Linked DNA regions of Neurospora crassa OR74A. The protein of the gene in region 1 purifies or fractionates together with the protein of each later gene. This does not show direct contact. Links are inferred from orthologs where the notes say so. Each region holds a gene or a part of one and is shown in the gene's direction. Other genes may lie near its edges. The genes, in order: prk-3, NCU01831 and NCU01625.

Region 1 (3,833 bases):
CCAGGAAGACGGTGGTTACGGAACAGCCGGCGATGAAGAGGGGCTTCAAGGTGGAGGCGCCAACGTCGGAGATGTAGGCTATGGTTTGCCGCGCGTCCATGGAGGCATAGTGACGTCGGTTTTCGTCGGTGCACCAGTAGATGAGCAGGCCGAGGAGGGTGCCGAGCCAGACTACGCCGGAGATTATTGGAAAAATCTGGAAAAGGGGCATTGTGTTAGCTTAGCTTGGGGGAATGGGAATGAGAATGGGAAGAAGGAAAGGATGGATGGGGGGTGAAGGTGAAGGTTTACCCAATATGATAGTATCCCTCGCAACATCTTGACTGAGTTTGTTATTCTGTCTGATGTCTAGGTGGTTTGGTGTACAGAATATGATGTAACACGGGTTCTGTGCGCCCGCAGCTTCGCTAGTACACTAGGTGTAGATGCACGAGCAGAGATGCAGGAACAAGGAACGAGCGTGTAGGAGTTTGGACGAAGCACGTCCCGTCGTTACGAAGTGTATATGGTCGTAACTAAGAGACCTGAAAATCGTAGTCGTAGTAAAGAATACCCAAGGGTTGAGATGCTGACAATGGAAGCTTAAAGAATGTTGGAAGCTCGGTTGTCTCGGCAGCCACAGTCGACTGTTTGGGTGCTAGGTATGTATGTACCACGCTTTGTTGCTTGCGTGTCCAAGGTCGAGTGGAAGTTCGTTAACAACAAACTACAAGAAGTTCTGGATTGACACAAGGAAAAAAGAAAGTCAAAAGGGGAGTAAGTAGGACGAGATGAGATGGACTGCGCACAAGGGGGACCTTAAAGGGTTATCCCGGAGTTATGTTTCTGGAGTCTATTGTAATCTAGACACGCTATGATGCTTACTCTCGCGGATTACTTCCTTGTCTCTGCCATGGCATGGGTTTCGTTTTCATCATTGTTCTTTATTTTTTTCTAATCCTAGCCCAACGGATGATCTCCGGCTTGTGCCCGGCGCGCGGACTGATGTCGACGCCCGTCCACGAGGAGGAAGAAGCCTTCACACTGCCACTTTGGTTGGGTGAGAAGTGACGTCAGGGTCCAGGCGCCTGCTCATCCCTGTGGAGCACTGAGACTTTCGGGGTTTAGCGTGTCTCTTGCTGGTCTATCCTTACGGCTACAGGGGTCTTTGCTTGTTAGTGCTTACCTAAACGAGTTTGACGGTGTGACGGTGTCATCGGCGGGCTGGGCTGGGCAGGGCATCCGTCGCGCGGCACCGCGGCAGAGGTTCCCTTGATGGTGATATGCATATATATCATGATAAGATATCCAAGTTGATATGTGAAGAAACACTGCGGATGTTTTGATACCTTCTACCCTCAAAGACAGATGTCTTTTTATATATGTCGGGATGACTGAGAAACAAAAATGGAAATCGCTCTAGTCTCCAAACACCAGCGGGCAGCAGCGGACCCACAAGACATACGGGGATCCGGGCCTCCACTGGTTGACAGGGCCCTTCCACCGAACTCCATCCATCACAGCGCATCCATCTGCCAAAGCTTAATCCCACTCTCTCTTCCCTTATCCTCCGTCCTTATCTTAACTCCGTCTATGCAACGCTGCCTCTACGAAGCTGCCCAACACCATCAACAACAATAACAAAACAACAACTGAACAGCCACCGGTCGTTGATCTGCCGTTGACGCCCGACCTTCTCTTCCCATCGAGCCCGTCTTTTCCCCGCGATCTCTGGACTAAGTAGGTAATCGACTGTTTTGGCATCACTTTACACCGTCCGCCCGAGGGTTGAAGCACCCGAGAGAACCAGCCAGCAACATGGCGAACTCCCCTCTTGTTGCGCGTCCGACCGATGCGCTCCAGCCACCGAAATCCCTTCCGCCATCCAGCGGCGGCACCCCAAGCGGGGGACTTCCACGGTCGGCCCGGGGCCAGCAGATCGCCGCCTTAGCCCGCCCGACTATGGATCTGATGGAACAGATGAACGAAGACGAGAAGAACAAATACATCAAGGGTGCGTTGTACTCGGTCATACCAACTCTTCCAGTGGGAGTTTATCGAACTAACACATATTATCGTGCGCAACAGGCAAGAAACTCGGTGAAGGTACCTACGCCAACGTCTACCTCGGCCACTCCCGTCTCGACTCCTCAACACAAGTCGCCATCAAAAAGATCAAAGTCCAAAAGGAATACCAAGATGGCATCGCGCCCGACGCCATCCGCGAAATGAAGTACCTGCAAAAGCTTCGGGGCCACGCCAACATCATCATCTTACATTCCGTCTTTTCATCCAAGGACCAGAACCTCAACCTCGTCCTTGAATACCTTCCCCTCGGCGACCTCGAGATGCTCATCCGCGACGTTGACCACGTCCGCTACGGCGCCGCCGACATCAAAGCCTGGATGGGCATGCTGACTCGCGCCATCTGGTGGTGTCACGACAATTACGTGCTGCACCGCGATATCAAGCCCAACAACTTGCTGATCGCCGCCGACGGCGAAGTCAAACTGGCGGATTTTGGTCTAGCACGGAGCTTTGCCGACCCCGGCGTGCGAATGACGGCGAACGTGATCACCAGATGGTACCGTCCTCCCGAGCTGCTGTTCGGCGCCCGCCACTATTCGGGTGCCGTGGACATTTGGTCGGTGGGTCTGGTGTTTGCCGAGCTCATCATTCGTGCCCCTTACCTGCCTGGTAACTCGGAGGTTGAACAGATCGCCTTGATCTGCAGGGAAATCGGCACGCCGACGGAGGAGAACTGGCCTGGTGTTACGCAGCTGAAGGAGTATACGGTTCCCAGCGACGTGGTGCCCGTGGCGGGCAAGGACAAGTACATGGGTCGGTTTGGCGCAGTCGGGTCCGATGGCGTGGATCTGTTGACCAAGACGCTGGTTTTGGATCCAAGGAGGCGTATCACGGCGAGGGAGATGCTGGAGCATAGGTGGTGGAAGGCAGATCCCAAGCCGACGCCTAAGCATGACCTGCCGAAGAAGACGGCAGGGGCCGAGGAGAAGTTGGCGGCGGATTTGAAGAGACGGAATGGTATGGTGGAGGACGACGATGTGCGCGGCTCCAAGGTCGCTAGGAAGTTGGACTTTGGCACCGCGAGGTGAGGAGGCTATGGACGAGGGTTACAACTGAAGTATGATGACAAGCATTTCTGGAGAAGGCATGATCTACTTATGAAACGGATACACTGGGTTGGAAAGGTCACATACAGTATGCATGCACGGCATTGACAATATAGAGCAAGAGAAAGGCGTTTGGGCGCATCACACATATCATCAGTCCATAGACATCAAATCGGTTTTGAATCACATCTACGGGAGAGTCTCCTGACATGTAGCTCGTAAAGCGGAAAATGTGTATGTGATGCTTTGTCATTGATTGATATAACCCTCATATCCTATTTTCTCTAGGTACTTTTATTTTTATCATGCTCTTTAATCCAAAAAAAAGTAAAGATGCTCGCTATTCGTTAAATCTTCTTCCTCCACACTCTTTCTCCTATTACCAAGGAACACCCTTCGATGGTCCCTCCCTACAACCTCACATTACCAAACACTCCAGCCCATACATAGCCCTCTCCACCTCCTTCCTCACATTATACCAATCCGCCCTTCGTTCCGCATACTCGTACACCTCCTCGGCTCTAAACACGCCACTAAACCGCTCGTTATCCGCAATAATGGTCGCCATTTCTTTGGCATGATGCTTAGCATCAATCAGGTAAATCTGACTCAACTCCCTCAGCGCTTTGAAATATGCTAGCAGGTCTTGGTTTTTCAAGGTGCGGATGTACTCGTAGTAGAGATTCACGTCGGCAATGAGCTTGATGGCGCCCTCGGTCG
Region 2 (4,202 bases), on another chromosome or scaffold:
GTACAGGTTTGTCCATCGTTTGGGGCCAAATGGCGTACACGATACTGCCCCTTTCCCATACAGAACCTGGAGGCGAATAAACCATTCCTTGGGCGCAGCGACCGAGGAGGACCATGAACAATCTGGCCCTTTTTGTGTGAAAATTTCGACCGCGTACGACTGATCGCGAGTTGGTTAATCAATTGCGCCCATACAAGCGGCTGAGGTATTACGTCAGAGGCGGCACAGGTCAGTCTTGGCCGTTGACCAGTGAGCGGGGATCTTTGGAAACCTCGGCCGAAGGTGCCGTGACGTAACGTCAATCCAGTTGGCGTTTCTTATTGGCCACCTGTCAGCGCGTAGGTCGCAGGCGAGCCACGATCAACCGCAGAGCTGGAACGGGCCGGCACGGGGCCGGCACATCTACATGTGCCTTACTACTAACGGCGAGGCTACTCCACGGCGCAACCTTTCATCGCATTTCACGATCCTACAATACCTCGCTACGAAGCTTCTGTCGGGCACATCACGCCAAGTACGCGGTCCGCTTTAAGGTCGCATCTTACTGCATTCCTTCATCGAGTATATGTACATAACTCGATGCAGTAATTAGCTTCGATCTTCTCTCCCCCATCTCCAGTAAGTATTGCTAGTTGTGCACTGCACTGTGACAGTTGTTTCGCTCAAGGTAAGGGTCGGTGTTTACCTGTTTCACCACATCACGAAACATGCGACTCACGCCATACGGTGTCTGTCTCGCTGGTGACCTTGCAGATTCATTGGACCACGATACCGAAACGGATATATGGACACATCAAAGCCGTGGACCCCATTCCGTCGTCTGGACTCTAGAATTCGGGAGAGCCCGTGCCCGGAATCCGGACCGGAACGGACAGTTGGACTCCCTGGCTGGCCGTTTTCCACGTGGGATTCCCATTTTGCCAAGCGATTTGACCGCACAAGTATCACGCACCCCCGCAGTACCGACGACGACCGATCCATGATTTATTTGAGCCTTGTATGCCTACATACTCTTTGAGGTTCTTGATTACTTCAACAGTCTGGTGAACCCCGGGCACAAGCATGTGAAAGTCGCAGGCCCCCGAAGGCATAGCCCTACATCGCCTCAAGACAATCCAGTGGCCCTTCTGGGTAGCGGGCACATCATGTAGTATATACTTGACACATATGCACGTCCTTTGAATGTCGTGACTCGTAACCAAGCTTCAAATCAGAGTTGACCTTCGCTTTGAAGTTGTGGTGGAACCAGATTTCGCTGTCGAATTTCGAGGCCCGTAGTTACACAAACGAGATGTCGGTACCCAGCACCGATCTGATTCGATTTCACAGGCCCCACTCTTCCTGCGAGGCTGCCTACATACACGAGTTCGCGCATTTGGGGAACAGCCTTGCAGTCCAGTAAACATTTCCGGCTTCCACCACACACCACGAACCTTTGTTCAGCTTGTGCATTCAACGTCGTCGCGTATCCCCTTTTCTCCATTCTTTCTTATTTCTCTCCGGCACTTTTTCAGCGCGACAACCAGTACCCGGCCTCCCGATCAACACCTACCAGGGAGTTGTCTACACGAACACGACTAAAGGCCCTGATTATCGAACTTCTGAACCTTCCACTCGTTTCGAAGTGACCCTCGAGCTTCTCCCACTAAGAGCGCCAGCTACTATCCGTCAAACTATCCCGACAAACATACGCAAACATGGCTGACTCGGACGGCGAGTACGCCTCCGACGATGAGCTCAAGAGGCATGGAAAGAGGACAGCGGACGGGCGCAGCAAGCAAACCAAGGCGTCATGGGAAGATGTTAAGCGCTCCTGGGATACCGTCTTGGAAACAGCGGACAGCGGCCTCTCCATCGCAGAGATTCGGGAGGCCGAGAAGCGGCGTCGCCTTCTGCGCGACACGACACCTCTTCAGCGTGGAATTATCCGCCATCTGATGCTTGTGCTCGACATGAGTTTCGCCATGGCCGACAAAGATCTGCTACCAAACCGTTACCGAGTCGTCCTAAATAACGCCATTGGCTTCGTACGCGAGTATTTCGAGCAGAATCCCATCAGTCAGCTAGGCATCGTGGGAATGCGCGATGGAATTGCTGTGCGAATAAGCGACCTGAGCGGGAATCCGGCCGAGCACATCGAAAAGTTGATGCAATGGAGCGAGCAACAAGACCCCCAAGGAAATCCGAGTTTACAGAATGCACTTCAAATGTGCCGAGGTGCTCTATAGTCAGCGCTACGGCCCACCCCCTCCGTGACAGAGGTCATTCGCTAACCGCTTCATGTTTTTGTACAGTCAAACGCCGTCACATGCCACGCGCGAAATACTGATAATCTACGGTGCCCTCGTCTCAATCGATCCGGGCGACATACACGACACCATCAACGACCTCGTAGCCGACCGCATCCGCGTCTCGGTCGTTGGCCTCGCCGGCCAAGTCGCCATCTGCAGCGAGCTTTGCAAGCGGACGAACAACCACGACGGCAACTACAGCGTCGCCGTAGACGAGGTGCACCTCAAGGAGCTCTTCTTCGCCGCCACCACTCCGCCCGTCACCCGCACGCCCGAGCAAAACACCGCCAGCCTGCTCATGATGGGCTTTCCCAGCCGCACGCTTGCTCCGAAAGACCATGTCAGCTTCTGCGCCTGCCACGCGAAGCCCACGCGCGAGGGGTACACCTGTCCGCGCTGCGGAATCAAAGTGTGCCGGCTGCCGATCGACTGTCCGATCTGCAAGCTGACGCTCATCCAGAGCACGCACTTGGCGAGGTCGTACCATCATCTGTTCCCGCTCAAGGTGTTTGTGGAGGTTCCGTGGTCTCAGGCGTATAAGTCGACGGCGTGCTACTCGTGCCTGACACCCTTTCCTGCTAGGCCAAGGGATTCAGTGGCGGCAGCGCCAGCTGTGTTAGGAGGGAGAGCCGGAGCTAAAGGTAGCGGGAAACAACAGGACGGCGAGCAGAAAAATCCAAAACCGGAACTCAAGGGTGTCAGCGAAAGCGGGCGGTATGCTTGCCAGGTATGCGGAAATCATTTTTGCATAGACTGTGATGTCTTTGCCCACGAGACTATTCATAATTGTCCTGGGTGTCAGAGCGATACGAGGGATGTGGAGAAGGATACGGCAGTAGCAGTACCAGACGGTGGCCCTACACCCATGGTGATGGATTCCTAGAGTGAGGAGCATGCTACAAATGGCGGCAGATGGAGGACAACAATTAGCCGCTCCGCTTGAACGTTTCAGATTCTTCGGGCGGAACCGAACCGGCCACTCTGGTTAAGAGCATCGATAGTATGGTATCGTGAACGAAAACGATACGATGACCCGAAACAGAGCAGTTTTAAGGGTATGGCGAACATATCTGTTACATGGAGGGGTTGGCGCTGCAAAGAACACGAAAATATACACGGCATCACGATCAAAATATACCCAGACGACTTGGCTAAGAAGAAAGTCCAAAGTGGAACTCCCAAAACCAAAGCTGTAAGGGACACCAGCCGAATAACTAGAGACGACGGGGTCATGGCTTCTTCATGCTCTTTACCAACAAGGCAGTGCAAAGGGATACTAGCGAAAGGGCTAAAGAAATGACGGGATCCAACAGATGTGAAATGGTCCTATGAATTCAAGAAGACGATTCGTTGGGTGTGGCGCATCTGTGAAGGAGATGGGAGACGGATATGGTTATGGAAGAATGATCAAGAAGACTCTTTGCGTATCGGTAGAGTCCCTTGTGACGAGGGGAAAGAGAGGACGGGCACGCAACGAATCATAGATGTGGAGTGATACGGCAATGTGAGATTTTGAGACCATACCAGCATCATCAAGTAGCGTACTAAAATAGCTAATCTTCATATGTCTACACGGTTCCGGTGATGTTCCGATAAAGGAAAAATCCTGCCCTTGAACAAATCGGACAAATTATATGCAAGTAGGTAGGAGTGCGTGGTGAAAAACGAGTGAAGAGCAGAATGCGAAAGGAACTTGTTGGGCGATCATGACTGGCGATTTATGAACAGGTCAACAAAATGTTTCAACCCCTCGTTTTCATTCGAAGCTAATACACCACCGTGAATTCGCTCATTACCTACAATTTCACATAGCTGATTTCAGAATGACAAAGTACTATGTAAGCACGTGTCAAAATCATCACATGATTTGCATAACTATGCCAAAGCTACTTTCATGCTCTACTTCTCGGT
Region 3 (4,061 bases), on another chromosome or scaffold:
GGAGTCGATTCAAATCCTCCGTCCTCCCTCCCTCGCCCCGATCTAGACTCAACGGCAGCAAGGGCGCGCCTACCTATCTACCTACATACACCCATCACCACGCACCCACCCTGAGTACCTCTGTGTAGATATGGAAGTAAGTCCGGGGCGAAGGATCGCAACCGCGCGGCGGGGTTTGGGAATCCTTCGGAAGTCTACCTACTTGGAATTGGGAACTTTGCTGCTGCTCCAAACCGGCGGTTAAGTAGTAATGAGCAGACAAGCGCCGCCGCCGCGATTTGATGAGCCCCGTTTTTCTTCCATCGTGACAGTCGCTGCTCGTATTCACTCATGCGCCAACAACCGCCGGTGGTGGCATACGAGAGTCGGGGTATCAAAGTCACCACCCAAAGTGGAATATGTACCTGGCAGTCAGTTGACGTTCCATGAAGAGTGGTGGGTGACTCCCGAGTCGATGTGGGAACTTTGAGCTCTTGGATTCCAACAACTACCTACGGGACAGCCACATAAAGGTTATGCTGAGATACTGCATGTGTGACTGAGAGATATGAAAGTGTTGAGGATCGCCGTGGTACTCCACGGACGGTATTGAAGTGAGAGGTGGAATTAATCTATTTGCTCCCGATCGTTGATTTCAAGCGTCTGAGATGATGAGGTTTCTCCCTTCTTGCAGCTTGTTTTGGCGCTTTCGTTTTCCCGCTACTTTGAAGGACCTGTCTTTCCATCGGTCGTTTTTTTAATCTTCCTTTTGAATAAGACCCATGGACTGATAGATAATCGGCAAGATGGCGATCCTTCGTACTGAGCGCGGAAGTACCAACACTGATAGTTATCGTATAATCCGAATCCGAGGAAATTCCAAGTCCGCCGATTGCTGTAGACTTGAAGCATTGCAATCACTAAGAGAAGACGGACTACCTCTATCAGCGCGGCCTGTGCACCAGTTTTTGAGCATGGAAGCGAGTGTGCGCAAAGGAAATATGAATATAGAGGCTGCTGAGGAAGTGGAAGTGACGATGAAGTTGTGGTGTTCCAGTCGTTTTTGAATGTGAAGGCCACAGTGCAATTGAACTATGAGAAAGACTGTGCGTGTGGGGGGTCCACACTCACTGCAGTCAATCCGGCATCAGCGGGCCGGCAACAAGCGTGCCGGACCGGCAGCAGCTCACCGTAAAAGTATCACCGTACCTGACCTTGTGCCAGATCCGGATTCCCAGAAACAGCACATCATTGATCCATCAAATCCACCGAGATCCTGTCCTGAAGCTGATCGCCACAGGCCACCGCCAGGCAACCTTGGCACGTGCTTTCTCGACTTCACAAATCTATACAACAACAAGCGCAATACAAACAGCCATAATAATAGAGATACGCGGTCTAGGGGAAGACCTGAGGCTGCATACTTGAGACAAGGGAGGAGGCCCCTTTGAATACCGAAGAACAGACGAACGACTGCCCCCGCCAAGACCCAAGATAGAAGCTCCAGCGTGCAGACACATGCCAAAAGTTGACCTCGATTTCACGACTTCTCGCTTCTCACCAAACCAAACATCGAAATAGAACATCAAACGACCATATTAAGCATCAGCCCTGTCGCACTTCTCCATCCGGACACCCGCGTCGATTAGATATTCTGCGACATAGTAAAACCAGCAAGAACATTCATCAACGTTGCTGCTGCCCGCGCAGCCATTCGTAATTCCTTCCCTTTGTCCGTGTATCCAAGGCCGTGATACTACACGCCCACCATGGAGTTCAACATCGAGTAAGAGCCAAATCCGAGATGACGCGTTCGCGTTCTTGGTCTGTAAAAAACCAGATAACTAACTTGCCGGCAAACAACAGCGATCTCCCAGTTCTGTTTCCTTACCCAAGGATATATCCAGGTATGTGAGCTCATCCACATTGGTACACCATCACAAGTGCTGACAGACCGACTACACAGAACAATATGCGTACATGGTGGACTTGAAAAGTGAGCATTCAACAAATAGCTCACACTCATCACACGTCCACTGACCACCACCACTCCCCACAGAAACCCTCGATGCAGGCGGGAACTGTGTCCTGGAAATGCCTTCGGGCACCGGCAAGACCGTCACCCTTTTGTCACTCATCGTCGCCTACCAGCAATACTACCCAGAGCACCGGAAGCTGATCTACTGCTCGCGAACAATGTCCGAAATCGAAAAGGCCCTCGTTGAGCTGAGAGCACTCATGAAGTTCCGAGCCGAGCGGCTGGGGCACGAAGAAGAGTTTCGCGGTCTCGGTCTGACAAGTCGAAAGAACCTGTGTCTGCATCCCTCGGTCAAGCGGGAGAAGAGCGGTGCCATTGTCGACGCGAGGTGTCGCAGCTTGACGGCCGGCTTCGTCAAGGAGAAGAGGGAAAAGGGGGAGAATGTGGAGACGTGCGTCTACCACGACAATCTCGACCTTCTAGAACCGCATAACTTGATCCCTAACGGAATTTGGACACTGGATGGCCTGATGAGGTATGGCGAGGAAAAGAAACAGTGTCCTTATTTCACTGCCAGGAGGATGGTAGGTCTCTTCTCAACACCCCAGGATGCGGATGTAATAGCTCGAGATGCCATACATACTAACAGCTCATATGTAGATGCAACACTGCAACGTCATCATCTACTCCTATCACTACCTCCTAGACCCCAAGATCGCCGAGCGCGTGTCCAAGGATCTATCCAAGGACTGCATCGTCGTCTTTGACGAGGCTCACAACATCGACAACGTCTGCATCGAGTCTCTAAGTACCGACATCACCCAGGACTCACTGATGAGGGCAACCAGGGGTGCTCAGAACTTGGAGGCCAAAATCAGCGAGATGAAGGACTCTGATCAAGAGAAACTTCAGTCCGAGTACGAAAAGCTAGTCGAAGGACTCAAGGGTCTAGATGAAGGGCGACAGGAGGATGCTTTTATGGCTAACCCAACACTACCCGACGATCTGCTCAAGGAGGCTGTCCCCGGCAATATCAGGCGAGCCGAGCACTTCGTTGCCTTCCTCCGGAGATTCATCGAATACCTCAAGACCCGCATGAAGGTCCGCCAGGTCATCTCCGAAACACCACCATCCTTCCTCGCCCACCTGAAAGAATACACCTTCATCGAGAAGAAACCGCTCCGGTTCTGCGCCGAGCGTCTAACCTCGCTAGTACGGACCCTCGAGCTCACCAACATTGAAGACTACCGGCCACTCCAAGAAGTAGCCACCTTTGCAACCCTCGTCGCCACCTACGAAAAGGGCTTCCTACTGATCCTCGAGCCCTACGAATCCGACACGGCCAAGACCCCGAACCCAGTCCTGCACTTCACCTGCCTCGACGCCGCCATCGCCATCAAGCCCGTCTTCGACCGATTCAGCTCCGTCATCATCACCTCCGGTACCATTTCCCCCCTTGAAATGTACCCCAAAATGCTCAACTTCGAAACCGTCGTGCAGGAATCCTACGCCATGACCCTCGCCCGCCGCTCTTTCCTCCCCATGATCGTCACCCGCGGCTCCGACCAGGCCTCCATCTCCACCTCCTTCCAAGTCCGCAACGAGCCCAGCGTCGTGCGCAACTACGGCAATCTCCTGACCGAGTTCGCCCGCATCACGCCCGACGGCATGGTCGTCTTCTTTCCCTCGTACTTGTACATGGAATCCATCATCTCCATGTGGCAAGGCATGGGCATCCTCGACGAAGTGTGGAAGCACAAACTCATTCTGGTCGAAACCCCAGACGCGCAAGAAACCTCGCTAGCGCTCGAGACGTACCGCACCGCCTGTTGCAACGGCCGCGGCGCCATCTTGCTCTGCGTCGCGCGCGGTAAAGTGTCCGAAGGCATCGACTTTGACCACCAGTACGGCCGCACCGTGCTCTGTATTGGCGTGCCCTTCCAGTACACCGAGTCGCGCATCCTCAAGGCCCGCTTGGAGTTCCTGCGCGAAACGTACCGCATCCGCGAAAACGACTTTCTCTCTTTCGACGCCATGCGCCACGCCGCGCAGTGTCTGGGGCGCGTCTTGCGCGGAAAAGACGACTACGGAGTCATGGTGCTGG

Evidence for each region.
Region 2: the proteins of prk-3 (region 1) and NCU01831 purify together in Saccharomyces cerevisiae (affinity purification with mass spectrometry; 3 studies listed by BioGRID, with this or other methods). This does not show direct contact. The link is inferred for Neurospora crassa OR74A from reciprocal best matches to the Saccharomyces cerevisiae genes KIN28 and SSL1.
Region 3: the proteins of prk-3 (region 1) and NCU01625 purify together in Saccharomyces cerevisiae (co-purification; 6 studies listed by BioGRID, with this or other methods). This does not show direct contact. The link is inferred for Neurospora crassa OR74A from reciprocal best matches to the Saccharomyces cerevisiae genes KIN28 and RAD3.

What each region holds. Positions count from the first base shown.
Region 1 is NC_026505.1:1,999,077-2,002,909, reverse strand, and holds prk-3 (serine/threonine-protein kinase), read left to right. Parts: upstream 1-1,298; 5' UTR 1,299-1,797; coding exon 1,798-1,993; intron 1,994-2,067; coding exon 2,068-3,095; 3' UTR 3,096-3,301; downstream 3,302-3,833. Other genes in the region: NCU03660 (FK506 suppressor Sfk1), read right to left, coding at 1-196, 292-318; NCU03658 (secretion pathway protein Sls2/Rcy1), read right to left, coding at 3,532-3,833. UniProt on the Saccharomyces cerevisiae protein: Catalytic component of the TFIIK complex (KIN28-CCL1 dimer) which is the protein kinase component of transcription factor IIH (TFIIH) and phosphorylates the C-terminal domain of RNA polymerase II during transition from transcription to elongation after preinitiation complex (PIC) formation, thereby positively regulating transcription.
Region 2 is NC_026502.1:2,258,509-2,262,710, forward strand, and holds NCU01831 (RNA polymerase TFIIH complex subunit Ssl1), read left to right. Parts: upstream 1-1,387; 5' UTR 1,388-1,697; coding exon 1,698-2,227; intron 2,228-2,294; coding exon 2,295-3,174; 3' UTR 3,175-3,875; downstream 3,876-4,202. UniProt on the Saccharomyces cerevisiae protein: Component of the general transcription and DNA repair factor IIH (TFIIH) core complex, which is involved in general and transcription-coupled nucleotide excision repair (NER) of damaged DNA and, when complexed to TFIIK, in RNA transcription by RNA polymerase II.
Region 3 is NC_026502.1:2,932,376-2,936,436, forward strand, and holds the start of NCU01625 (DNA repair helicase RAD3), read left to right. Parts: upstream 1-1,228; 5' UTR 1,229-1,748; coding exon 1,749-1,765; intron 1,766-1,845; coding exon 1,846-1,886; intron 1,887-1,945; coding exon 1,946-1,975; intron 1,976-2,038; coding exon 2,039-2,541; intron 2,542-2,617; coding exon 2,618-4,061. UniProt on the Saccharomyces cerevisiae protein: ATP-dependent 5'-3' DNA helicase.